3 linked regions of the Canis lupus familiaris genome follow. The protein of the gene in region 1 interacts with the protein of each later gene in a biochemical or structural test. Links are inferred from orthologs where the notes say so. Each region holds a gene or a part of one and is shown in the gene's direction. Other genes may lie near its edges. The genes, in order: pre-mRNA-processing factor 40 homolog A, MECP2 and U2AF2.

What was found.
Region 2: the proteins of pre-mRNA-processing factor 40 homolog A (region 1) and MECP2 form a complex in vitro, tested with the Homo sapiens proteins (2 studies listed by BioGRID, with this or other methods). The link is inferred for Canis lupus familiaris from reciprocal best matches to the Homo sapiens genes PRPF40A and MECP2.
Region 3: the proteins of pre-mRNA-processing factor 40 homolog A (region 1) and U2AF2 form a complex in vitro, tested with the Homo sapiens proteins (2 studies listed by BioGRID). The link is inferred for Canis lupus familiaris from reciprocal best matches to the Homo sapiens genes PRPF40A and U2AF2.

Annotation. Positions count from the first base shown.
Region 1 is NC_049240.1:55,429,230-55,436,913, reverse strand, and holds part of pre-mRNA-processing factor 40 homolog A, read left to right. Parts: intron 1-1,185; coding exon 1,186-1,210; intron 1,211-1,869; coding exon 1,870-2,244; intron 2,245-7,684.
Region 2 is NC_049260.1:123,059,154-123,067,452, reverse strand, and holds MECP2 (methyl-CpG-binding protein 2), read left to right. Parts: upstream 1-3,891; 5' UTR 3,892-4,144; coding exon 4,145-4,242; intron 4,243-5,831; coding exon 5,832-6,915; 3' UTR 6,916-7,048; downstream 7,049-8,299. UniProt on the Homo sapiens protein: Chromosomal protein that binds to methylated DNA. It can bind specifically to a single methyl-CpG pair. It is not influenced by sequences flanking the methyl-CpGs.
Region 3 is NC_049222.1:102,841,078-102,848,761, reverse strand, and holds part of U2AF2 (splicing factor U2AF 65 kDa subunit), read left to right. Parts: intron 1-3,405; coding exon 3,406-3,485; intron 3,486-3,567; coding exon 3,568-3,690; intron 3,691-3,955; coding exon 3,956-4,054; intron 4,055-4,262; coding exon 4,263-4,511; intron 4,512-7,684. UniProt on the Homo sapiens protein: Plays a role in pre-mRNA splicing and 3'-end processing. By recruiting PRPF19 and the PRP19C/Prp19 complex/NTC/Nineteen complex to the RNA polymerase II C-terminal domain (CTD), and thereby pre-mRNA, may couple transcription to splicing.

The DNA of each region.
Region 1 (7,684 bases):
TATAGGAGGAGTTTTAAAAATACCATGCTTCACTTACAAAGGGAGTATTTTTCATTATCCTTAACTATTCAAAATACCCCTGAAAATTGGGAAATACTACTTAATATAAAACCCAGTTCTTCAAATAGAGATTAGAGTGAAAATTGAGAATTCAGTTCTTTTACTCTCACTTTTGAAATAGAATCTGGTGTCATTAATTATCAACTTAGCAGTAATTGCTTAAGTAAAATGCTTAGAAGCATTTTAAGAAATGGAGCCAGTAAATTAGTCATCAGTGTGGAATGACATCTGACAGTGAAGAGAATAAAAATTTCCTAAAGGCACTATGGTCTTAAGTCTACTTACCTTTTTCCTGTGTCACGTAATTAGCTTGGATCATCATTGTATCTGAAAAATATGTTAATTTATGTTAGTAATGATGACTCCTATAGTATGTTTTGTCAGACGTCCTAAACCTGCTTTCTGAAATGATTTCCATTAAAGGGGGATAAGTTTTTTAAGTACTTTGATAAAGTTCAGCTTTGTTACCAATTATGTGGACCATCTCATTCCCTAATGATGCTGAATATTTTTGTTACTCATAAAAAAAAATTAATTGGAATGGAAGCTGAAATACTGAATGCAAGTCTTTAAAGCTCTTTAAATTTCTATACTAGCATTGGCTAATAATAATGTAGATAGGTAGATTCCCATTTTATTCATGTAAAAAATATCAAGCTCATTTCTGATATAACCCTACTACAAGATAGTTGGTGTGCATAACTATCTATCTACCTGTCAATGCTAGTATATATGTGCTGGAATTTCATAATATGAATTTGGTCTCATTTTGAATTTGGTACCTTTAAAATGATCAAATAGTTTAACCCCCCAGAGAAAATGCTGTTTTATTCCAGAATTATACAGATATTCTGAGTTCTGCAATAGCCAATAGCCTTTGGGAAAGTAGCAGTGTGCAGAGAAACTTTACTAAAAACTGCTGTCATTTAAATTTGTCTTCATTCTTTAATTGCTGTCCTGGAACTTTGGAGCAAGCATTTGCTCTGAAAAAGTTTGGGTTTTTTGGATGGTAAATTAAAATCTTACTGTATGAGAAACTTCTCCTTATCTCCCTTTAAAGTTTGTTTTCATTGATTGTATTTAAAAACCATGTCATAGGTAACTGTTCTTTTTTCTCTTTAATAGCAATGATCAAAGCCGAAGAAAGCAGGTAAGCCGTTTTGGACATCAGTACAATTTACAAATTTGGGATCTCCAATATGTAACATTCTTGTTTTAAATATTTGCTTTATAGTGTAAATAATATTTACCATGTTCAGTCTGATGGTGTGATATCTTTGGAGGATTTGGGGTAGGGAAAAGAATATTTACCAAGATATATACAAAGGACAGTTTGCTAGATGGTAATTATTGGAATTTGGATTACATCCTTTGAATTAAGAAGCCTGTGTTACAGAAAAGTCCAAAGTTTGGTTTGATTTAATTCCTGTATCCAGGTGTTCTTTGAATATATGAAGTGGATAAAATTTAAAGTTCATATAGAAATTAATGATATAGGACAAATTTTATGGTATGTAATACAATGTGATAGTAGGGCATTTTGTGATTGAAAACGATTGTTGGACTTCCGGAAGTGCAGATTGTTGCATGAGTCCCTATGCTATATTATCCTGGATGTTTGCTCAGTTAAGTTGAAGTAATCCAGTTTCATTGTTTTTAGTCTTCTCAGATAGCTTAATAGTTTGTCACATTGCCTTTCTCTCTTTTATAAATCTTATTCATTTGATTTTATGATAGACTATATTGTATGGCTTTCTGATTATTAACGAGATGACCAGTTTGTTGTTGTTGTTATTTTTTAATATATAGTAAGCAAGAAGAGTGCACCACAACATCAACAGCCCCGGTTCCTACAACAGAAATTCCGACCACCATGAGCACCATGGCTGCTGCAGAAGCCGCTGCCGCTGTTGTTGCTGCAGCCGCAGCTGCTGCTGCTGCTGCGGCTGCAGCCAATGCCAGTGCTTCCACCTCTGCTTCAAATACTGTTGGTGGAACTGGTCCAGTTGTTCCTGAGCCTGAGGTTACTTCAATTGTTGCTACCGTTGTAGATAACGAGAATACAGTGACGATTTCAACTGAAGAACAAGCACAACTTACTAGTACTCCTGCTGTTCAGGATCAGAGTATGGAAGTATCCAGTAATACTGGAGAAGAAGCAGCTAAGCAAGAAACTGTATCCGAGTAAGTTCAGTGACTTGTCTTTTGCAAAATTAAGACTTCATTAATGGAAGAAATTTTGAGTTTACTTGATAGCCATTGAGTGTTTAAAATTTTTTTGAGAATCAAAACATGAACCTTTAGATAATCATTACCAAGGCTGAATTTTGTGGGCTCATGGTCTTAAATTCTTGAAAAACTATTCCTCAGTTTTATAAACCAGACTTCAGAGACACAGGGCGAGGGACAAATTAAAGAGGAGTTCCAAGCACCTTAGCAATCAAGATATGTCAGTTACCGTGCAGCAATTTTAAATTTTAAGTCAAAACTAATGCAGAAAAGCCCATGATTATTAAAATAACAAAATTTTAAATAGAGACAGGATTAGTATTATTAATTATTTTGCAACAGGCTCAAGTATGACTTAGCACAACTCTGCAAGGAAGTGCTATAGTTTGATGTTGAACAAATAGAAGCAAAGATTAGGTAGACAAAAATAAAGATTTACTACGGTGTAAGAAAACTGTTTAGTAGGGTGTAATTAAATTGGTATAACTTTTTAATGACAAAATAGCTGTATCTGTCAATCTGTAGTTTACATGTGCGTGTATTCTGTATCATCTGGTCATATTTCCTATGGCTGTGCTTTATATAGATATAAAAAGTAACCTTGAGCTATGCTTCTTGACTTTAATGTCCACATATATTTTTTAAATAACTGTTAACTGTGATGTCACATTCCATACATGATCACCCATCTTCTTAATATTTAAACATTGATTTCATCTCCCAACTTCTTGTTAAATATTCTTTTTTATTTTATGTACAGCTCCCAAAGTGAAAATAGCTTTAAATTTTTTTCTGATGCTTAGAAGTTGAAAAAGGAATCTACATGGTATATTTGAAAGCACAACAGTAACATTTTTATGTATTTCCTTGTGCCCTTTTTTACGTTTTATTTCATCTTTTAAGGATTTATTTATCTGAGAGAGAGAGAGCATACACACTTGTGTGGGGGAGGAGGGCAGGGGGAGAAGGAAAGCAGACTTACCCTCTTAGCGCAGAGCCCAACATGGGGACTTCATCTCAGGATCCTGAGATCATAAAGCAAGAGTTGGATGCTCAACCAGCTAAACCACTGAGGCACCTGTTTTGTTTTTTTTTTTAATAATGTCTGCAGTCATCCTGGAGCTCCAACTCACAATCCCAATATAAAGAGTCGGTTATTGGTCTGTTTAGGTTTTCTGTCCTTCCTGTTTCAGTTTTGGTAGTTTATAAGTTTCTAGTCCATCCATTTCTTCCAGATTGCCTAATTTTTTGGCATATAGTTGCTCATATGTTCTTAAAATCATTTGTATTTCCTTGGTGTCGCTCATGAACTCTTTCATTCATGATTTTATTAATTTGGGTTTTTTCTCTTTTCCTTTTGATCAGTCTGGCTAGGGCTTTATCTGCCTTATTAATTCTTTCAGAGAACCACCTCCTAGTTTCATTGATCTGTTTTACTGTTCTCTTGGCTTCTATTTTGTTAAATTATGCTCTGATGTTTATTATTTCTCTTCTCTCTTAGGCTTTATTTGCTGTGCTTTCTCCAGATCCTTTAGGTGAAAGGTTAGCTTGTGTTTTTGAGATTTTTCTAGTCTTTTGAAAGAGGCTTGTAATGAAATATGCTTCCTTTTAGGACTGCCTTTGCCATATCCAAGGTTTTAAACAGTTGTATTTTCATTTTTGTTAGTTTGCATGAATCTTTTTAAGTCTTGAATTTCCTGGTTGACCCATTCATTCTTTAGTAGGATGCTTTTTAACCTCCAAGTGTTAGAGTTCCTAACAAATTTCCTCCTGTGATTTGAGTTTTTCAAAGCAGTGTGGTCTGAAAATATGTAGGGAATAATCCCAATCTTTTAGTATTGGTTGAGACCCGATTTGTGACCCACCCAGTATGTGATCTATTCTGGAGAAAGTTCCATGTGCAGTCGAGAAGAATGTGTGTTCTGTTGCAATAGGATGGAATATTCTGTGATTATCTGTGAAGTCCATCTGGTTGAGTGTGTTATTCAAAGCCCTTGTTTCTTTGTTGATCTTCTGCTTTGATCTGTCTATTGCTGTGAGTGGGTTGTGGAAGTGTATTATTATTTATTTGTTTCTTTACTTTGGTTAGTAATTGGTTGGTATTATTGGCTGCTCCCGAATTAGCATAAATATTTATAATCGATAGATCTTGCTGAGTAGGCCCTTTAAGTATGATATAGTGTCCGTCTCCATCTCTTACTACAGTCTTTGGTTTAAAATCTAATTTATCTAGTATGAAGATTGCTATCCCAGCTTTCTTTTGAGGTCTATTTGCATAGTAAATGGTTCTCCATCCCCTCATTTTCAGTCTGAAGGTGTCATTAGGTCTAAAATGAGTCCCTTGTAGACAGCATATGGATGGGTCTTGGTTGCTTTTTTTTTTTTTTTTTTTTTTTTTAATTTATTCATGAGAGACACAGACTTGAGAGAGAAGAGAGGCAGAGACACAAGCAGAGGGAGAAGCAGGCTCCATGCAGGGAGCCTGATGTTGGGACTTGATCCCGGGACTCCAGGATCACACCCTGGACCGAAGGCAGGCGCTAAACCACTGAGCCACCCAGGAATCCCCGGGTCTTGTTTTTTAATCCAATCTGATACCATTTACTAATGGACTAAAAATCATAAGATACCTACGAATAAACCTAACTAAAGAGGTAAAGGATCTGTATTGTAAAAACTACAGAACACTTATGGAAGAAATTAAGGAAGACACAAAGAGATGGAAAAACATTCCATGCTCATGGATTGGAAGAGTAAATATTGTTAAAATGTCTATGCTGCCCGGAGCAATCTACACATTTGATGGAATCTCTATCAAAATACCAATGACATTTTTCACAGAGCTGAAACAAATAATCCCTCAGATTTGTTTGGAACCAGGAAAGACCCCAAAAAGCCAGAGGAATGTTGGAAAAGAATGCCAGAGTTGGGAGCATCTTAATGCCTTACAAAGCTGTGATCAAGACAGCATGGTACTGCATGAAAACAGACACATAGGTCAGTGGAACAGAATAGACAACCCAGAAATGGACTTCGAACTCTATTAGTCAACTAATCTTTTGACCAAGTAGGCAAGAATATTCAATGGAAAAAAATAAACAGTCTCTTTAGTAAACAGTACTGGGAAAGTTGGACAGCCACATGCAGGAAAATGAAACTAGACCAATCTCTTACACCATACACAAAGATAAACTCAAAATGGTTGAAAGACCTAATGTGAGACAGGAATCCATTAAAATTCTAGAGAAGAACACAGGCAGCAACTTTTTTGACCTCGATGACAGCAACTTCTTGCAATACCCATCTCTAAAGGCAAGCGAAGCAAAAGCAAAAATGAACTTTTAGGACTTCATCAAGATATAAAGCTTCTGCACAGCAGAGGAAGCAGTCAACAAAACTAAAAGGCAGGCTGTGAAATGGGAGAAGATATTTGCAAATGACAGTTAAGGGGCTAATACCCAAGATCTATAAAGAACTTTAAAACACCCAAAAAACAAATAATCCCGTCAAGAAATGGGCAGAAGACATGAACAGACATTTCTCCAAAGAAGGCATACTGATGGCCAACAGACACATGAAAAATTGCTCAACATCACTTGGCATCAGGGAAATACAAATCAAAACTTCAATGAGATACCACCTCACACCAGTCAGAATGGCTAAAACTAACAAGTCAGGAAATGACCTTTTGAGGAGGATATGGAGAAGAAGGAATCCTTTTATTACACTGTTGGTGGCAAGCTGGTGTAAAACCACTCTGGAAAACCGTATGGAGGTTCCTCAAAAAGTTAAAAATAGAGCTACCCTATGACCCAGCAATTGCACTATTATCTACCCCAGAGATACAAATGGAGTAAAAGTGCACCCCAATGCTCATAGCAGCAGTGTCTGCAATAGCCATAGTGTAGAAGGAGCTGAGATGTCCTTCAACAGAAGAATGGGTGAAGGAAAGGTGGTGTGTGTGTGTGTGTGTGTGTGTGTGTGTGTATTATATATATAATATATATAATAATATACACATTAATGCACAATAATATATATTATATATATATAATATACACAATGGAATATCACTTGACCATCAGAAGGGATGAATACCTACCATTTACATCAACATAGATGGGACTGGAGGGTAATTAAGTAAAATAAGTCAATCACAGAAAGACAATTACATGGTTTCCCTCATATGTAGAATATAAGCAATAGTGGAGAGGGAGGGAGGACTACAAGGGAAGGGAGGGAAAACTGGGGAAAAAAGTCAGGGAGGGAGACAAAGCATGAGAGACTATTAACTCTGGGAAACAAACTGGGGGTTGCTGTAGTGGAGAGGTAGGTGGGGGATGGAGTAACTGGGTCAAGGACATTAAGGAAGGCACGTGATGTGATGAGCACGGAGTGTTATACACAACTGATGAATTACTGACCACTACATCTAAAACTAATGATGTACTATATATTGGCTAATTGAATTTAAATTAAAAAAAGATACATACTCCAGCATGTTGAATGATTATTAATTACATATATGTAAATTTCAGTGTTCTGATAGACATTGAAAGTTTTGGGATGGTATTTTATATATCCTTTTATACTTTTTTTTTTAAAGATTTTATTTATTCATGAGAGACACACAGAGAGGGGCAGAGACATAGGCAGAGAGAGAAGCAGGCTCCCTGTGGATCGACCGGACCCCAGGATCATGTCCTGAGCCAAAGGCAGATGTCCAATCGCTGAGCCACCCAGGCATCCCTATACTTTTATTTTTTTCTACAATAATTTGTTTTTCGTAATTTCAGCAACAATTACTTTCTGCTTATTTTCTTTCTAGTATTTCCTTCTAGTACCTGAATCGTCATAAACTTTTTAATTTCTGCAACATATACCATTTACAGGTGGTAATTTTTGACTGGGCCCTTTATACTATTTCTGATAATTTTGAATAAATTTCCCAAAGTAAGGTTACTTGACTCAGAGGGTATGAATATATTTTGTGTAGTTGTTCCATTTAATATTTGCTCCATTCTCTTCCCCTAAGCATTCTGGTTCTTTTTTTTTTTTTCCTGCGTTATTTTACCTTTATATAGGAAGAGATGTTAGTAGTATATGATCTTTTCATTTTATAAAGACCCCCAAACTAGTGCAGTTGGTAATTCTTGAATATTTTCATTCTTTTTGTTTGATATCAATGTTTGACATACTTTTTTGTGAATTACAAAAGAATATATATATACTTTCAGTTTTGTGGATCAGTCTTAAAATGATGCCGTCCTGTGGTAGCATATAAGAAGCCATAATATATAAACTTATGAGTAAAACTATATGTATAGAAACAGATAGTGGGCTAGATTTGGTTCTCATGAATTGTAGTTTTTCCCATTCCTGATTTAGGTACTCT
Region 2 (8,299 bases), on another chromosome or scaffold:
CTCCCTCTGCCTGTGTCTCTGCCTCTCTCCGTGTCTCTCATGAATAAATAAATAAATAAATCTTTTTTAAAAAAAAACTAAAAAAATAAAATAAAAGAACTAGGGACAGGACACCTGGATGGCTCAGCGGTTGAGTGTCTGCCTTTGACTTAAGCATGATCCCTGGGTCCTGGGATCAAGTCCCACATCAGGTTGTTCTCGGGGGGCCTGCTTCTCCCTCTGCCTGTGTCTCTGCCTCTCTCTCTCTCTGTCTCTCTGATGAGTAAATAAATAAATCTTTTAAAAAAAAAAAAGAACTAGGGCGCCTGGGTGGGTGGCTCAGTCAGTTGAAAGTCTGCCTTTGGCCTAAGTTGTGATCGAGCCCCGCATTGGGCTTCCTGTTCAGCGGGGAATCTGTTTCTTCCTCTCCCTCTGCCTGCCACTCCCACTGCTTCGTGCTCGCATGCGCTCGCTCTCTGTCTGTCTCTCTCTCTCTGTCTCTCAAATAAATAAAATAAAAGAACTAAAATATTACAGATTGAATTAAAGGCCCTTTTATTCTTCATCTTAGGTGCTATTAAAAATTCATTTGTTAGACACTTAGGGTTTAAAAGGCAAATTTTGTTATGAATGTTTTATCACAATGAAAAACTTAAAAAAAAAAAAAAAAACCAAAACAGTTCATTCAGGCCCAAGTCAAACTCTGAGCGCAGCTGGGTCTCCTCTGTGGCTAGTATCAAAAAACTATGTTCTTCTCTCCTTGAACTTCTAGCCATGGATGTGGCTATAACCCCCATGTGTTCCTGGCCCAGGCTTTCCTGTCCTCAGTGGTACCACCATCCTTCCAGGCATTGGTGATAGTGCTTAACTCATCCCATCCCCTCACCCACACCAGGCTTTCCTCAGCTCTGTCACTCTACCTCCTGGTCATTTCCCAAATCCTCCACTGTCCCCACCCTGGGCCATGGGAGACCACTGAAGAGGCTTCTCACAGGTGCCCCCTGATTTCCACACAGCAAGTAGTGATCCTTTAAAGATAAGAGCTCTTGTCCCTTCCCCTGCCCAAGACTCCCCAGTAGCAATCTGACAAAGCCCTCCACATCCCCCTTGAGGCCGCTCTGCTGCCCAGAACCACCTTCTGGCACACAGCTGCATGATTCACCCCTTGCTTCTTGTAGGATTTTCTCTCTTTTCTCCCTCATTGTGATCCAGTCAGTTTGTTCTTTCAGATACTCACCTTGTCATGGTGTCATCTAGTGCAAGGAGTCCTTTTAGCCACCTCCTATGTCCTTTGACTTTCCCCTCCTCTGTCCAAGCACTCCCCTGCCTTTCTGCCCTCACAGGCCACCGTAGAACCACAACCACCCACTTCTCCCAGGGCCAGCCTGGTTCCCTCCATGGATGCTGGACATGTTCCCTAACCCTGGGTGCCATATCAGGCCTTAAAATATGTCCCACCAAGGATATGCAGAGCAGTGTGGTCAGAGGTATTTGAAATAAATTTTCTCTTTGGTGTGGTATCAGTTTGATACATGGTTCAGTTTGTTTGTGTTTGCATTCAATACAGTAGGGTTTTGGTACTGTTTACTTTCTCATTTTGGTTATGTAAACTTTTATATGATTCAGAGAGGTCTTGCCTTGCGCCTATACCTTAGCTCGTTCCCACCCATCCTGGGACTAGGAAGTACTTCTTCCCTTGTTTCTCACGTGAAAGGCATCCTGTGATCTGTAGGAGATCCAGAGGTGCTCCTTCTCAGCCCTCTCAGGCTGCATGGCTCTCCATGCTATAGGCATGGCATCGTCCATTCAGTACGTCTTTGTTGGTAGCTCTATGAGTTGTATGCAGTACTGGGTCAGGAAAAATGATGCCGTTAACAAATAATATCATAGACTTAACTGTTTGGCATTTCTGGGGGTGTGTCTTTTTAGGGTAGAGTTCTAGAAGGGATTGACCTTGATGGCATCGACACCCTTGATTGTATCTAAGAGGCATTCCTGGGATATGTGGTTTGTACTTGACCTCATGGATGGTTAAACTATTTGGGGAATATAAATGAGTGTTCTGGAGAAACCAAACCTTTCCCATGGGTGCAGTGTTGTCTGCCGACTCCAGGACTATCCAGGTTCCAGGGAGTAGCCCTGGCCTTCAGCGGTGGCCCGTGGACTGTGTGGGAGTGGTCATTCCAGTTCATCTGCCACTCTGCTGCTGGCAAGCTCCCCTTCTCCCCTCTGTGTTGGGGGACTACAGGCTATAGGCCACACCAAGCTTCTCAGGATTCTTCCTCAATTCCTGCTGAAAGGCTAATAAGACTGTGATAATTGAAAACTAAGCTCTGTGCTGCAACAGATTAGAGACCCTCACTTTACAGCAAGAGAAGATCTCCTGTGGGCCGTGGGCTAAATCAGGGTCACCATGGCAGCCATGCTTTAGAGTCCTGAGCTGCTAAAGGATGACCCAGGATAGGGAGGAACTCAGGGACAAGCCTGTCTCCCAACCCCTGACCTGAGCTGTTCAGAAAAGGCATGTTCTCATGGTGCCAAGAGTCCTGATACTAACCCACCTTTGGCAGCTTACTGACATCATTTGAGTCTGGTTTCCAGTACATACCACAGTGCCTCCATTGGAGTCTCCACAGTGTGAACAAGGGGGTTGCTTGGGGTAGACTGGCCATGAGGCAGTGACCAGTGCTGACACGAGCCACATGGGACAGGGCAGCTCTAGGGCTTAGATATCAAGGGCAGGAATAGTCTCATTCTCTTCTAGACTGAATTGCTGAGAGACCAGCAGATGGCTGGTTCCAAGCCTCCCCAGCGTGGGTGGTGTTCCTGCCCTCTTAGCCCTGCTTTAAGAACACCACGGGCGGACTGATTCCAGGGTCCAGGGCCTTTCCAGTGCACACAAGGAAGGGACCCTACCAGGTGGAGCCAAAATAGCAGGAAGGAGCTGCTCTGTCAGTGTGAAAGCATAAGGAGGTGCCCACCCTGGAGTGGGGAGGGTGCTCTTCTGTGCCTTTGTCCTTGCTCTCCCCTTCTACTGGTTGAGTGTAAGGCAGTCATGGCTTGTAAAGGAATGTCTGATAATAAAAGTTTAGCAGACCTGGGGTGCCTTCTCCTCACTCCAGAACCCTGGGCAGCAGTTTCTGGTTGCCCGAGTTGGCTAGTGTTTATATGGTGCTTTTGTGACTTTTCTTCCTCTGGGGTGTTGGTGCCTATTACCAAGATGAGGAAACTAAGGCACGGAATGTTGAGGTCACTTGCTCAGGTCCATGTTTAGAAGTTGCCAAGTCAGAATTTGAGCTCAGGTTGGGCTGGCTCCAAACCTGTGTGTTTTCTCCACAGCACTGTGCTGTGCCTTATCTCCCAAGGGGGTAGTGCTAGGCTCTGCCACCATCAGTAAGTTGCATCGTGCTCCCTGACTGTTTTATCAAGCACACATTTGAGAAAACTTACAATACAGAAGCTATACTAACACCCAAGCCAGGTCTTTCGTGAAGAGGAGCCCTGGCCACATTTTGGGTGGGCAGCTCCCTCTCCAGTAGTCAAGGGCCTCTTGTCAGCCATGAAGTCTAGAGACTGTTGGGCACAGCTTGTAAAGTGGCCTCTTCCGAGGCAGTACACTGAGAAGCCACCTAGTGTTTCTACCCAGAAAAATGCCGCTCATTCTCCTGCTTGTTAGGAGTGGGACTTGGGACAGAAGGACTCAGAGTGGTCACAGTGCAGGTAGGGTAAAGCCCAAAGCCCCCAAAGAAATCTTTGAAGGAGAAAGGCATCAGGATCTGGGTGAGCATCGGTGGGGCAGCCCTGTCTCTCAGAGCCCTGCCTGTGCTGGGGTGCCCCAAACCCGCCATTGCTTACTTTTTCTACAAATCGGTGTGTTCCCTGTGATACTTACATACTTATTTAACACTTCAGGGAAGAAAAGTCAGAAGACCAGGATCTCCAGGGCCTCAAGGACAAACCCCTGAAATTTAAAAAGGTGAAGAAAGAGAAGAAAGAAGACAAAGAGGGCAAGCATGAGCCCCTGCAGCCACCGGCTCACCACTCTGCTGAACCAGCAGAGGCAGGCAAAGCGGAGACCTCAGAAGGGTCAGGCTCAGCCCCAGCTGTCCCGGAAGCTTCTGCCTCCCCCAAACAGCGACGCTCTATCATTCGTGACCGGGGACCCATGTATGACGACCCCACTCTGCCTGAAGGTTGGACCCGAAAGCTTAAACAAAGGAAATCTGGCCGCTCCGCTGGGAAGTATGATGTGTATTTGATCAAGTAAGTAAGGGCAACTCCTGTCTCTACAAAGCAGGGAAGGCTGGGTGGGCAGGAGGCTGGGGCCAGGTGCTGAGAAACTAATGGGGATCCCTTAGAGTGGCAGCTCTTTTTTTACTCGATGATCAGGAAAATGTGTGTATATCACCCATCTTGGGCTGGGGGTGGCTTCAATAATGAACACCACTTGCAGACCCCTCCAGGTATGTTTCAAATGACTGTGTACAGAGTTCACCGCCCTGAGTGTGACTTTACCCCACCAGCCCTTGAGGTCTTGTCTGGAGATGGCATCGCAGTAGGGCCTACCCAGGGCCACAGTGAGGACACAAGAAAGAGAGGTCGCCTGAGAAACATTGAGGACACAAGGCCCTGCCCAGGCTGGTCCCAGAGGCCACAGGACCTGCCATGTGTAGTGGCCTGTGCTTGGAAGGCAAGCAGGGCTCTCTGGGTTCCTCTCATTTCCCAGCTGGGAAACATCCAGCTGATGGGCTCTTCTCAGAACCTGTTAAACAACTCTTCTTTCTGTCAGTCATTCCGTGACTTGGCTGCATGACCCAGAAGAAGTAGGAGTTCAGAGGGCTCAGTCTACTCTCTGAATCATGTTGGGAAAGGTGAGCTCTCTGACAGGGCCTCTGGGGACACATTGGTGTCTCTTCATGTGCCTTTCCAACTGTCATTGGTGCATTTGTCCAGCTTTGAGCTGGTCATTGGGCATTTTCTATTGAAACAGTGTAATTCAGGGATCCCTGGGTGGCGCAGCGGTTTGGCGCCTGCCTTTGGCAGAGGGCGCGATCTTGGAGACCCGGGATCGAATCCCACGTTGGGCTCTCAGTGCATGGAGCCTGCTTCTCCCTCTGCCTATGTCTCTGCCTCTCTCTCTCTCTCTGTGTGACTATCATAAATAAATAAAAATTTAAAAAAAAAAAAAAAAAAAAAAAAAAAAAAGAAACAGTGTAATTCCCAAGCCAGAGCTTCAGAGAAGGACTGAATAAATACATTTCAGTTCTGGCCCTTAGATGATCCAGAAAAGATAAACAGTTTATTTGCAGACATCCTCATTTGATCGCAACAACTCTGAGAAGGGTGAACAAAAAGCATTATCCTACTGACAGATGAGGAAACCGATCCCAGAGAGGCTAAGCAGCATGCCCAGGTTCAGACAGAGAGGAGTGCTTTACTTACTGACTGGGCCCAGGCACCAACCAGCAGAATGCCTGCCCCTCAGCCTTCTGGCTCAAGCGGGTCTCCAGGCCAGGCCCCTTTGGGAGCCAGAGGAGGGGCCTTGGTGGTAGGCGGATCCTCAGGGGCAATAGCTGCAGAGCAGCTGACACCCAGCTGTTCTTGTCACTGGAGCACACCCTGTGGGTGCTCTCCGCCGCCCAGCAACCCAGTTGCTTTGTGTGTGACCATGCCCCTCTAATTTCAGCCCATTTTGGCTTTTCTCTAATGTGACTCTCATTGAATAGTATCATCAGGCAGGTCAATTGCAGAACGTCCTGTCACAGAATTCAGCACATTCTTCCTGCCCCATCTTTGTACATTAGCGGGGAAGCTTCTAATCGTTCTTTGTGTCTCTCCATTTGTTCCCACAGTCCCCAGGGAAAAGCCTTTCGCTCTAAAGTGGAGTTGATTGCGTACTTCGAAAAGGTAGGCGACACCTCCCTGGACCCTAATGATTTTGACTTCACGGTAACTGGGAGAGGGAGCCCCTCCCGGCGAGAGCAGAAACCACCTAAGAAGCCCAAATCTCCCAAAGCTCCAGGAACTGGCAGAGGTCGGGGACGCCCCAAAGGGAGCGGCACTGCGAGACCCAAGGCAGCAACATCAGAGGGTGTGCAGGTGAAAAGGGTCCTGGAGAAAAGTCCCGGGAAGCTGCTCGTCAAGATGCCTTTTCAAGCTTCGCCCGGGAGCAAGGCTGAAGGGGGCGGGGCCACCACGTCAGCCCAGGTCATGGTTATCAAACGCCCAGGCCGGAAGCGAAAAGCCGAGGCTGACCCCCAGGCCATTCCCAAGAAGCGGGGCCGAAAGCCAGGCAGTGTGGTGGCAGCTGCCGCCGCAGAGGCCAAAAAGAAAGCCGTGAAGGAGTCTTCCATCCGGTCCGTGCAGGAGACTGTGCTCCCCATCAAGAAGCGCAAGACTCGGGAGACGGTCAGCATTGAGGTGAAGGAGGTGGTGAAGCCCCTGCTGGTGTCCACCCTCGGCGAGAAGAGTGGAAAGGGACTGAAGACCTGCAAGAGCCCCGGACGGAAAAGCAAGGAGAGCAGCCCGAAGGGGCGCAGCAGCAGCGCCTCCTCACCCCCCAAGAAGGAGCACCACCACCATCACCACCACTCAGAGCCCCCGAAGGCACCCGCGCCGCTGCTTCCGCCCCCGCCCCCTCCCCCACCTGAGCCCCAGAGCTCCGAGGACCCCGCCAGCCCCCCTGAGCCCCAGGACTTGAGCAGCGGCGTCTGCAAAGAGGAGAAGATGGCGAGAGGAGGCTCGCTGGAGAGCGACGGCTGCCCCAAGGAGCCAGCTAAGACTCAGCCCACGGTCGCGACCGCCGCCACGGCCGCAGACAAGTACAAACACCGAGGGGAGGGAGAGCGCAAAGACATTGTTTCATCCTCCATGCCAAGGCCAAACAGAGAGGAGCCTGTGGACAGCCGGACGCCCGTGACCGAGAGAGTTAGCTGACTTTACACAGAGCGGATTGCAAAGCAAACCAACAAGAATAAAGGCAGCTGTTGTCTCTTCTCCTTATGGGTAGGGCTCTGACAAAGCTTCCCGATTAACTGAAATAAAAAATATTTTTTTTTCTTTCAGTAAACTTAGAGTTTCGTGGCTTCAGGGTGGGAGTAGTTGGAGCATTGGGATGTTTTTCTTACCGACAAGCACAGTCAGGTTGAAGACCTAACCAGGGCCAGAAGTAGCTTTGCACTTTTCTAAACTAGGCTCCTTCAACAAGGCTTGCTGCAGATACTACTGACCAGACAAGCTGTTGACCAGGCTTCTTAGGGTATGCCTGCACCTCCCCTCCCACCCAGACCTCCCCCCACCCCCCATGTGCTCATTAGGGACAGAGAGTGGTTGAGAGGACACTCCCAGTCTCAGCTCTCCTCTCCTCCCGCCCTGCCCCACCCCCATCCCCCCAGCTCCTCCACCTTCCCCATCCCTACCCACATTGGGACAAGGAGGTGTGAGGCAGGAGAGACAGTTGGATTCTTTAGAGAAAAAGACAGAGATGGCCAGTGGCTACAGCCTGTGTGATCTCACCCATGGTGGCACAAATCTGGCCCCACGCCAGCCCCAATCCAAAACTGACTAGGACATTTCACAGGACAGGGAAGTAGTACCTGTTCACTCCAGTTCTGGCATGGCTAGGAGGGAGTCAGTCCTTTGAGCTGCTGGGTGTAGACTGGCCTGAGCCAGAGGAGAGGATGGCCGAGGGCCGTTCTCCAGTGGGTGGCGAGAGAGAGAGAGAGAGAGAGAGAGAGAGAGAGAGGCCGTGGAAGCAACGGGACAAGGCGTAGGCAGGCTGGCCCCGGGCTCCTGGGCTCCTCCGGGTGGCACAGAGCAGTGGGGCTCATGGAATTCCTAGTTGCTCAGAGCAGTCTGTGACTGGTAGGTAGAGGCCTAGTGGACAGGTTGGGGGGCCAGGGGGAAGTAGGGGAAAATGTTCTTCCAAAACTTTCCAATTCTACTCCTTTAGGGACAGCTTAGAACTATTTGCACTATTGAGTCTTCATGTTCCCACTTCAAAACAAACATGCTCTGAGAGCAAACTGGCTTGAATTGGTGACACTTTGTCCCTCAAGCCACCAGACATGACGGTGTTTAGAACTACCTGGATCTGTATATACCTGCGCTTGTTTTAAAGTGGGCTCAGCACATAGGGTTCCCACGAAGCTCCGAAACTCTAAGTGTTTGCTGCAATTTTATAAGGACTTCCTGATTGGTTTCTCTTCTGTCCTTCCATCTCTGCCTTCTTTCATCCATCCTTTCATTTCTTCCCCTCCTCGTTCATCCCTTCTGTACCAGGCACCCACAGTTCCAAGCTTTACCTGAGCTGATGCTGGTC
Region 3 (7,684 bases), on another chromosome or scaffold:
TGCTGAGCCACCCAGGGATCCCTTCTTAAGATGTTTTTAATTATATAAGGAGCCTGCTTACTTGTCGAAGCTTACTATGTCAGGCACTTTGCCGAGTGGGGTCCATGGATCAGGTTAGTTTTTGTGACAGCTGTGTAGTACAAAGTCTGCAACTGACAGCTAGGGGTCAAATGTAGCTTACCAGTAAGCCTGTTTTCCTAAAGTGGGCTCTGCGTCCGGTGTGTACTCATGTACTCACTGTACTCCATGTACTTCAGCAAAAGGCATGTGCTCCACCTTCTGAGCCAGCCAGGTGCCCCTTGCCCATTTTTTTAAATAAAGATTAACTGGCACAGAGCCGAGTCCACTCGTTGTCTAGCGTCTGTATGACTTTTCTGCAGCAGCGGTCAGTTTGGATGAGAGACCCCGTGGCCCACAAACTGAAAATGTTTGCCACCCAGCTCTTTGGTGAGAGGCTTGCCAGCCACTGTTGTGTGTACCGCGATCCTGTTTCAGACCGGAGGAGAGCAAGGCAAGGCATGATAATGGTCTCTAGAGTTGGTGCTGTGCGGTCTTCCATAGCACCTTCTGACACAGGCCCTTTACCGTGTGGGAACAGAGACCTCGCGGGTCAGGGATAGCTTGTATTGGATCGTCTTCCCAGATTCATGGGCCCCTTTCTAGACGTAACTATTGGCGTGACTAAGCAGCTGAAGCGTGGGTCATCATCCATCTCTGTTCTTTGGGATTTGCTCACCCAGAGGGACCTGAGGGTCTGCAGTACTAGTGCCTGGGCAGGTGGCAGGAAGTGTGATTGTGCTTGTAGATTGAGCATCTTCTAGTTACCTTTTCATAGCGAAGTTCATATTTCAGTCTTCATTTTTTGGTTTAAAAAAAAAAACAATTTTATTATACAAGGAGGCTAAAGAGGAAAGCATGTGTGATAAAATTTAGCAGATGTTCTTGGCTGGAAGAGAAACAGTTCAGGAACCTGGAAGGCAACTTTCTGACCTTGATGGAAATGTGTTGATTAAACATGCATCACTTGGGGTTGTGAAATCTTGAGTTCATCTGCCCCTGAAGTCAGGCCTTGCTGTTGAGTGCTGGTGACAGGATCCTGGTGGTTCTTTGAAGACAAGAGGGAGACTGAGGTGGGGGGTGGGCCAGAGCTGTCTTTGGAAGCAGGGGAGCCCAGTAGTTATTCAGTGTGAGTTCAGCTCAGCTGTGAGCACCCGCCCACTGCCATGCCAGGCTCCCTTCCCCGTGCAGGGCCGAGTCCTAATCCCCCCCCCCCCCCCGCCCCCTCATCAGGCTCCTGCCACTGGGGCCTCACCCCCATGTACCCACTCCCTTATACCCACTCCCTTGGCAGAGTCCTATTCTGCCTGGTCTGGTGGTGAGTGCATGGTAGGAGAAAGTGGTATTCTAGGCACAGGGAAAGATTGCTCAGCCTTTGGGGGTCTAGTGTGGCCTTCAGAGAGGAGGTGTGTGCCAGGTGGACCCTCTGAAGGAGTGGATGTGTGGTCAGGGAGGAGGAGCCTGTCCATCCTTTTTTTTTTTTTCTTAAGATTTTATTTATTTATTCATGAGACATAGATAGAGGCAGACACACAGGCAGAGGAAGCAGGCTCCATGCAGGGAGCCCAATGTGGGACCCGATCCCAGTTCTCCAGGATCAGGCCCCGGGTTGAAGGTGGCACGAAACCACTGAGCCACCCGGGCTGCCCTGCCCATCCTATTGGGAGCGGATGTTGCCAGGGGCTTGATTTTGGGCACTGGGATTGATTGGTATCCCCATTTTCTGGCTGTGTGACTCTGTACGATAATAGTCCCCTGCTTCAGAACCGTCGTTCACTCAGGGTCTGCAGTCATTTATAGCTCTGGTCTCAGGCCCTATTTCAGGTGTACGCCCCATGTGGGTCATCCTCATCCTCCTGTGTCATAGATGCGAACACATAGAGCCTCACTTGGTGCTGTACCCCAGATTTGAACCCAGGGAGTCTGACCCTGGTGCCCTAAGCTCTGCATGCTTCCCTGGAGTGGATGGCACAGCAGATAGCAGCCAAGGCCAGCTGGCTGAGGGTCATCTGGCTCTGCCACTACTCCCTACTGGGGTGATGGAATCTCTGCTTTGCCTAGTCAGCCATCGTTCAGAGCTTTGGTACCTGTGTAAAGTCCCTAGCTTGCCGAGAGCTGCCTGTGGGAGGCACAGGTGTTATGGGCTTGGGGACCCCTCTTTCTGTGTGTGTGACTCCAAGATAGAACCAACTTTCTCTGCCTCAGTTTATCCTGTCTGGATAGGGCTTTGGAGAGCACGGATAGTAGACTTCATGAATTTACCTGTGGTGTCTGGCCTGTGGCCTCTGCGTAGCCTACCTTGGACACGCTGGATCTTCATGGTCTGCCCACCCCCCCACAGGCCCCACTCTGATGGTGCTTAGCTCTGGTTGAAGTGGCTGGGGTGGTGTCAGGAGAAAATGCACTCTTTTTTGTGTCCAGTCACTCAGTGTCTGATGCTTTCTGCCATCTTTCATTTCACCTGTCCGACCCTAGCTAGGTCAGGAAGAAGTGTGGAGGGGCTGCTTGGTGTGGACTGCTGAGGTGGGCCGGGCCATGCTGCTTTTGGTAGTGGGCTCTGGCCTTTGGAAAGTCAGGAACTGGTCGGGCCTGACCAGTGGTGTTTCTCTTCCAATGAGCCCTGATAGTGATCTGGGGCTCTGGGTAGCTCACACCTCACAGGAGGCCCCTGGGAATTAAACGACATGCTTTTGAAGCCAGTGGACAACAGGCTGAGCCACCTGGCAGGCACTTGTGTCTGAATCCAAAATTGAGTGGATATGGCAAGATTGGGGTGGATGCAGAGTAGTCATTAAACCATTCAGCCGACAAACATGAGCCCACTGTGATGTCCCTGAGGTCAGCAAGCTGAGTCGACTGGGCATGTCCCTGCCTTCGCAGACCCAGAGCAGCAGGCCAAAGAGGGAGTTGCTGGGTTTTTGTGGTTGCAAAAAGCTCGGGACCACAGAGAGAAGGACCAAGGGTCTCAACGGGAGACCTGATGTAAACGTCTGGGTGGTAGGAATGGCATTGGGGTTGTGATCTGAAAGACGGAGGGGGTGTAGGTGTGTCATCCTGATGTCTTACCAGTAAGGGCGAGTGCTGCCAGGACTTGTGGTTGGCAGGTTTGAGGTGTGGCCCCTTAGTGGGGACCCTCGCTGTGGTGCCACCCTGGTGTCGTGGCACATCCGAAGAAGAGCTGCTAGTGTGAGTCTTAGGGTCTGGATAGGTTTGGGAGACCGTGGTTTTGTCAGCGTTGCTGGGCCACCTTGGCTGATATAATGGGCCAGGCCCTGTGCACACACCCCGGGGTCTTGGTTAAAGACCCTGTGCTGGAAACCAAAGCCTATGTACTCCCCTTCCCCCCAGGAGTTGTGTCCACCGTGGTCCCGGACTCTGCCCACAAGCTGTTCATCGGGGGCTTACCCAATTACCTGAACGACGACCAGGTAGATCCCTCGCCTCCTTCTGGCTTCTCCCCTCCCACTCTTTACCTCAACCAGCCCTGACGGAGTTGCGGCCCTGCCGCAGGTCAAAGAGCTGCTGACGTCGTTTGGGCCTCTCAAGGCCTTCAACCTGGTCAAGGACAGCGCCACAGGGCTCTCCAAGGGCTACGCCTTCTGTGAGTACGTGGACATCAACGTTACGGATCAGGTGAGCCCGGGCCCCTGCCCTGCTGTGTCCACTCCCAAGTCGCCCTCCTGGGGATGGGTGGGAGGAGGCCAGCTTAGGTAGGGTCCTGTGTGGGGGACTGGGCCCCTTCCCCTTGGTTCCGGCTCCTGCCAGGTGCTCACTCTTTGGCCTTTCCTCTCACCACCAGTGCCCAGCTCTGGGGTATTGGGGCTTGGTGGGAGGCGTCAAGTCCTGCACCTGACCCGCACCTTTCTGCTGCACCCCCCCCCTTGTCCTCCGCACACAGGCTATTGCGGGGCTGAATGGGATGCAGCTGGGAGATAAGAAATTGCTCGTGCAGAGGGCAAGTGTGGGAGCCAAGAATGCCACGCTGGTGAGCCCCCCGGCACGTCATCTTCCATTGGCTAGAGGGATACTGGGGAGGGGCGGGGCGGGGTGGCCTGGGGGATGCTGGGAGCAGATCCTCAGAAGCTTCGGCTCCAGCCCTGGCTTTCCTGGGCCTTCAGGGGCGGACGTGATTCTCTGGGTAGGCCTCTGGGGGTTCGGTGTGGCCCTGGCCGTGACAGCCCTGCCCTCCCCCCTTCTCCCCACAGAGCACCATCAACCAGACCCCCGTGACCCTGCAAGTGCCGGGCCTCATGAGCTCCCAGGTACAGATGGGCGGCCACCCAACGGAGGTCCTGTGCCTCATGAACATGGTGCTGCCCGAGGAGCTGCTAGACGATGAGGAGTATGAGGAGATTGTGGAGGATGTGCGAGATGAGTGCAGCAAGTATGGGCTTGTCAAGTCCATTGAGATCCCCCGGCCTGTGGATGGCGTCGAGGTGCCCGGCTGTGGAAAGGTGTGCATGTGTGCATGGGTACACACCAGTGCTATGACTCACATGGGTATAGGGTCCCCCAGGAGTGTGGTCTTGCAGCTGTGCTTCACAGCTTGGCTTTGTCATGTGATCTTACATATGTGGTTCGGTCTTGTCTGTAAGTGGGGAGAAAAGTGCTAAAAACAGAACAGCAGCAAACCCACTCGAGTCTTCTGGGTGCCAGGTACTCCCTGAGCTTAACCTTTGCAACATGAACTCTCATGGCAGCTCTCTTAGCCCTTGCTCAGAGGATGCAGGCCACATGGTCTGATTCCACAGCCCACTGGGTCCTGTCACTTCTGGCACTGTGCTAGGTGTCAGCACCTTGAACCCTTCTTGAGAGGCAGGGAAGAGTGGGTGACTTAGCTTTCCCTAGCCGCTCACCTAGTGATTCAGGCCTTCAAGCAGAACAAGTCCTGGGGCCAGCCTTGTCAAAGACAACATGTGTGATAGTAGCTGGAAAGGGAGTAGAATTGCTCTGCTCTGGATGCTGTTCTTAGACAGGAATAGACACCTCTTAGTCAAGGTTAAGAGTTGATATTAACCAGGCCCAAGTGATAATAGGTTATCCCAGGTAGTAGGGTCCTGAGCAGGGAACCCAATGAACATAGATCTCCTGGGTTATGAGCCTGGTGTGTTTGGGGATGGTGACAAGGCTGGCATAGTCTAAGCAGAGAGCAGTGGGAGATGAGTTCTGAGGTTGGGAGCTGGGGCCTAGTGTGGCAGATCTTGTAGGCCTGTGTGGGTCCTGGAAGAATGTTGGGTGTTCTTGAAGTGAGAAGGAAGCCTTTGAAAGTTCAGGAATGTGGTCTGTTGCCTTGCACATAGAGTTCCTCATAATCAAGTAGGCGTGGACAGGAATTACAGGGAGGTCCAGGTCTTACTCCAGTCCTGCAGAGCTGGGTTCTGCAGGCAGGGAATTCAGAGGGGGGTAGAGGTGGTGGTGGTATGACCTGGAACTTTGGGAACTAACAGCTTATGGTCACTTGGTCGGAAGATGGTGACTTGATGGAAAGTAGCAGCAGAGGATGGAGAGAAGTCAGTCCATGGATTTGAAAGACACGTTACCTGTAAACACCCAGATCCTGGTGGTTGATTTGGGAGGGGGAAGAGGAGTCAAGATGCTCAGATTCCTGGGCTTTGGCAGCTAGGTGGAGATGGCAGGTGAGAAGCAAGGGAGATGAGCAGGTTTGGGGGTGGGGGGTGGGGGTCAGTGTTGGGGAAGAGTGGGCTGTCAGTCTGAGGTCCTGAGACACCTCATTAGAGATGTGTGAAGCAGTGAGGACGGAGCTGCATTCCAGGCATGAGGGAAACATTTCTGATAGAAACAGATGTCATCAACACACTGATCCTCATTTTGGTGTCAGCTGGATAGGATTGCCCAGGGAGCAGTGGAAAGAGAGCCAGGTACCAAGGGACAGGGTTGGGGGGGGGGTGATGAAGGGATGAGCAGCATTTCCTCTCTCTCCTCCCGTGCTCTGCTTCCCAGTCCTCACTGGTGTGGTGTATGTGGTGTGATGGAAGCACCCGCTCCCCTCATGCCTCATGGGCGCTGGGATGGATCCTGGCTCCTGAGGGGCTGAGTCAGTATTTGTGGGAAGGATGAATGGGAAGACCGGCCTGGTGTCGGAGATCCTCCTGTTTTGTTTGTAAACTTTGTCTTTCTTTTCAAACATACATAAAAGTAGAAGTACCACACTGACCTACTATGGTAGGTCACTTTAGTTCCATTGTGGCACATAGAGTAGTATCGTCGTGTCCCATCATCCAGCTTCACTTGTCATTCTTAATTTCCCAACTTCATTTTTCCTGAAATAATTCAACGCATATCTCCTATATTTTATCTCCAATAATCAAGTGTATTGCTTTAGTATCTGAGCTACTAGGATTTGGGGCCTGGTAAGTCTTGCTCTTTGAATTCCGTGCTGTGCACTGTTCGATGTGTGGCCCCATTGCCAGTCTCCACCCTGTAGATGGGGGCTCCTACATGGTAGCACTACACTCCTCCTTTGTGACAGCCTAAAACCTCTCCAGATATTGCAAAATGTTGCTTGGGGACACATTTGTGCTGGTTGAGAACTGCTCTAAACTTTTAACAGAAAACTTTATTTTATTATTTATTTATGATAAGCACACAGTGAGAGAGAGAGAGAGGCAGAGACATAGGTAGAGGGAGAAGCAGGCTCCATGCACTGGGAGCCTGATGTGGGATTCGATCCCGGGTCTCCAGGATCGCGCCCTGGGCCAAAGGCAGGCGCCAAACCGCTGCGCCACCCAGGGATCCCTTTTAACAGAAAACTTCTAAATAATTATAATGAAAGTACAATATCATTGTTACAATAAGAAAATTATTCTTAGGATTTACTTAAATTTGTATTATAATTTCCTTGAGCGTCTCAAATGTCTTTTTATACTTGATCCATTTAAATATCCAAACAAGGATTCATGCAATCTTATTTAGAACTTTCTTAAAACTTAGCAGTTCTATGTAATGCCCCCCCCCCCTTTTTTTTTTTGGTGAGTCATTTTGTTGAAGCAACAGGGCATTTGTCTTACAGAATTGTCATGTTGTGAATTAGGTTGGTATCTTCCCCCTCACCCACTCCCTGTAAACCGGTTTTTTTTTTTTTTTTTTTTTTTTTTAACTGGTGTTTTTTTGTGTTTTTGGTTTTAAGATTTTATTTATTCATTCATGAGAGACAGGCAGAGACATAGGCAGAGGGAGAAGTAGGCTCCATGCAGGAAGTCCGATGTGGGACTTGGTCCCTGGACTCCAGGATCACACCCTGAGCCAAAGACAGACGCTCAACCACTGGGCCACCCAGGCATCCCCTAAACTGGTGGTGTAAACAAGATGAGATACTTGACCGGATCAGTGTTTTTATTTTTTTTGTTGTTGTTGTTGTTTCTTGCTTTGAGTCAACTTGGGTTTGAATCCTAATTTCTGAGCTTTCTTTGTCTGTCTCTGGGGAGAACCTGGCCCTTGGGGAAGCTTTGGGGAGGGAGGAGCACCGGCAGGGCGGGTGGAGCTCGTTGCCGTGGGTGTGGCTCTGGGCTCCAGTCACGCTCTGATGCCTCCCCTGAGCTCTGCTCTGTGCGCTCTGTTCTTTGATCCTGGGATTCGAGAGTACATTTGGGTAAATGCTCGCAGATCT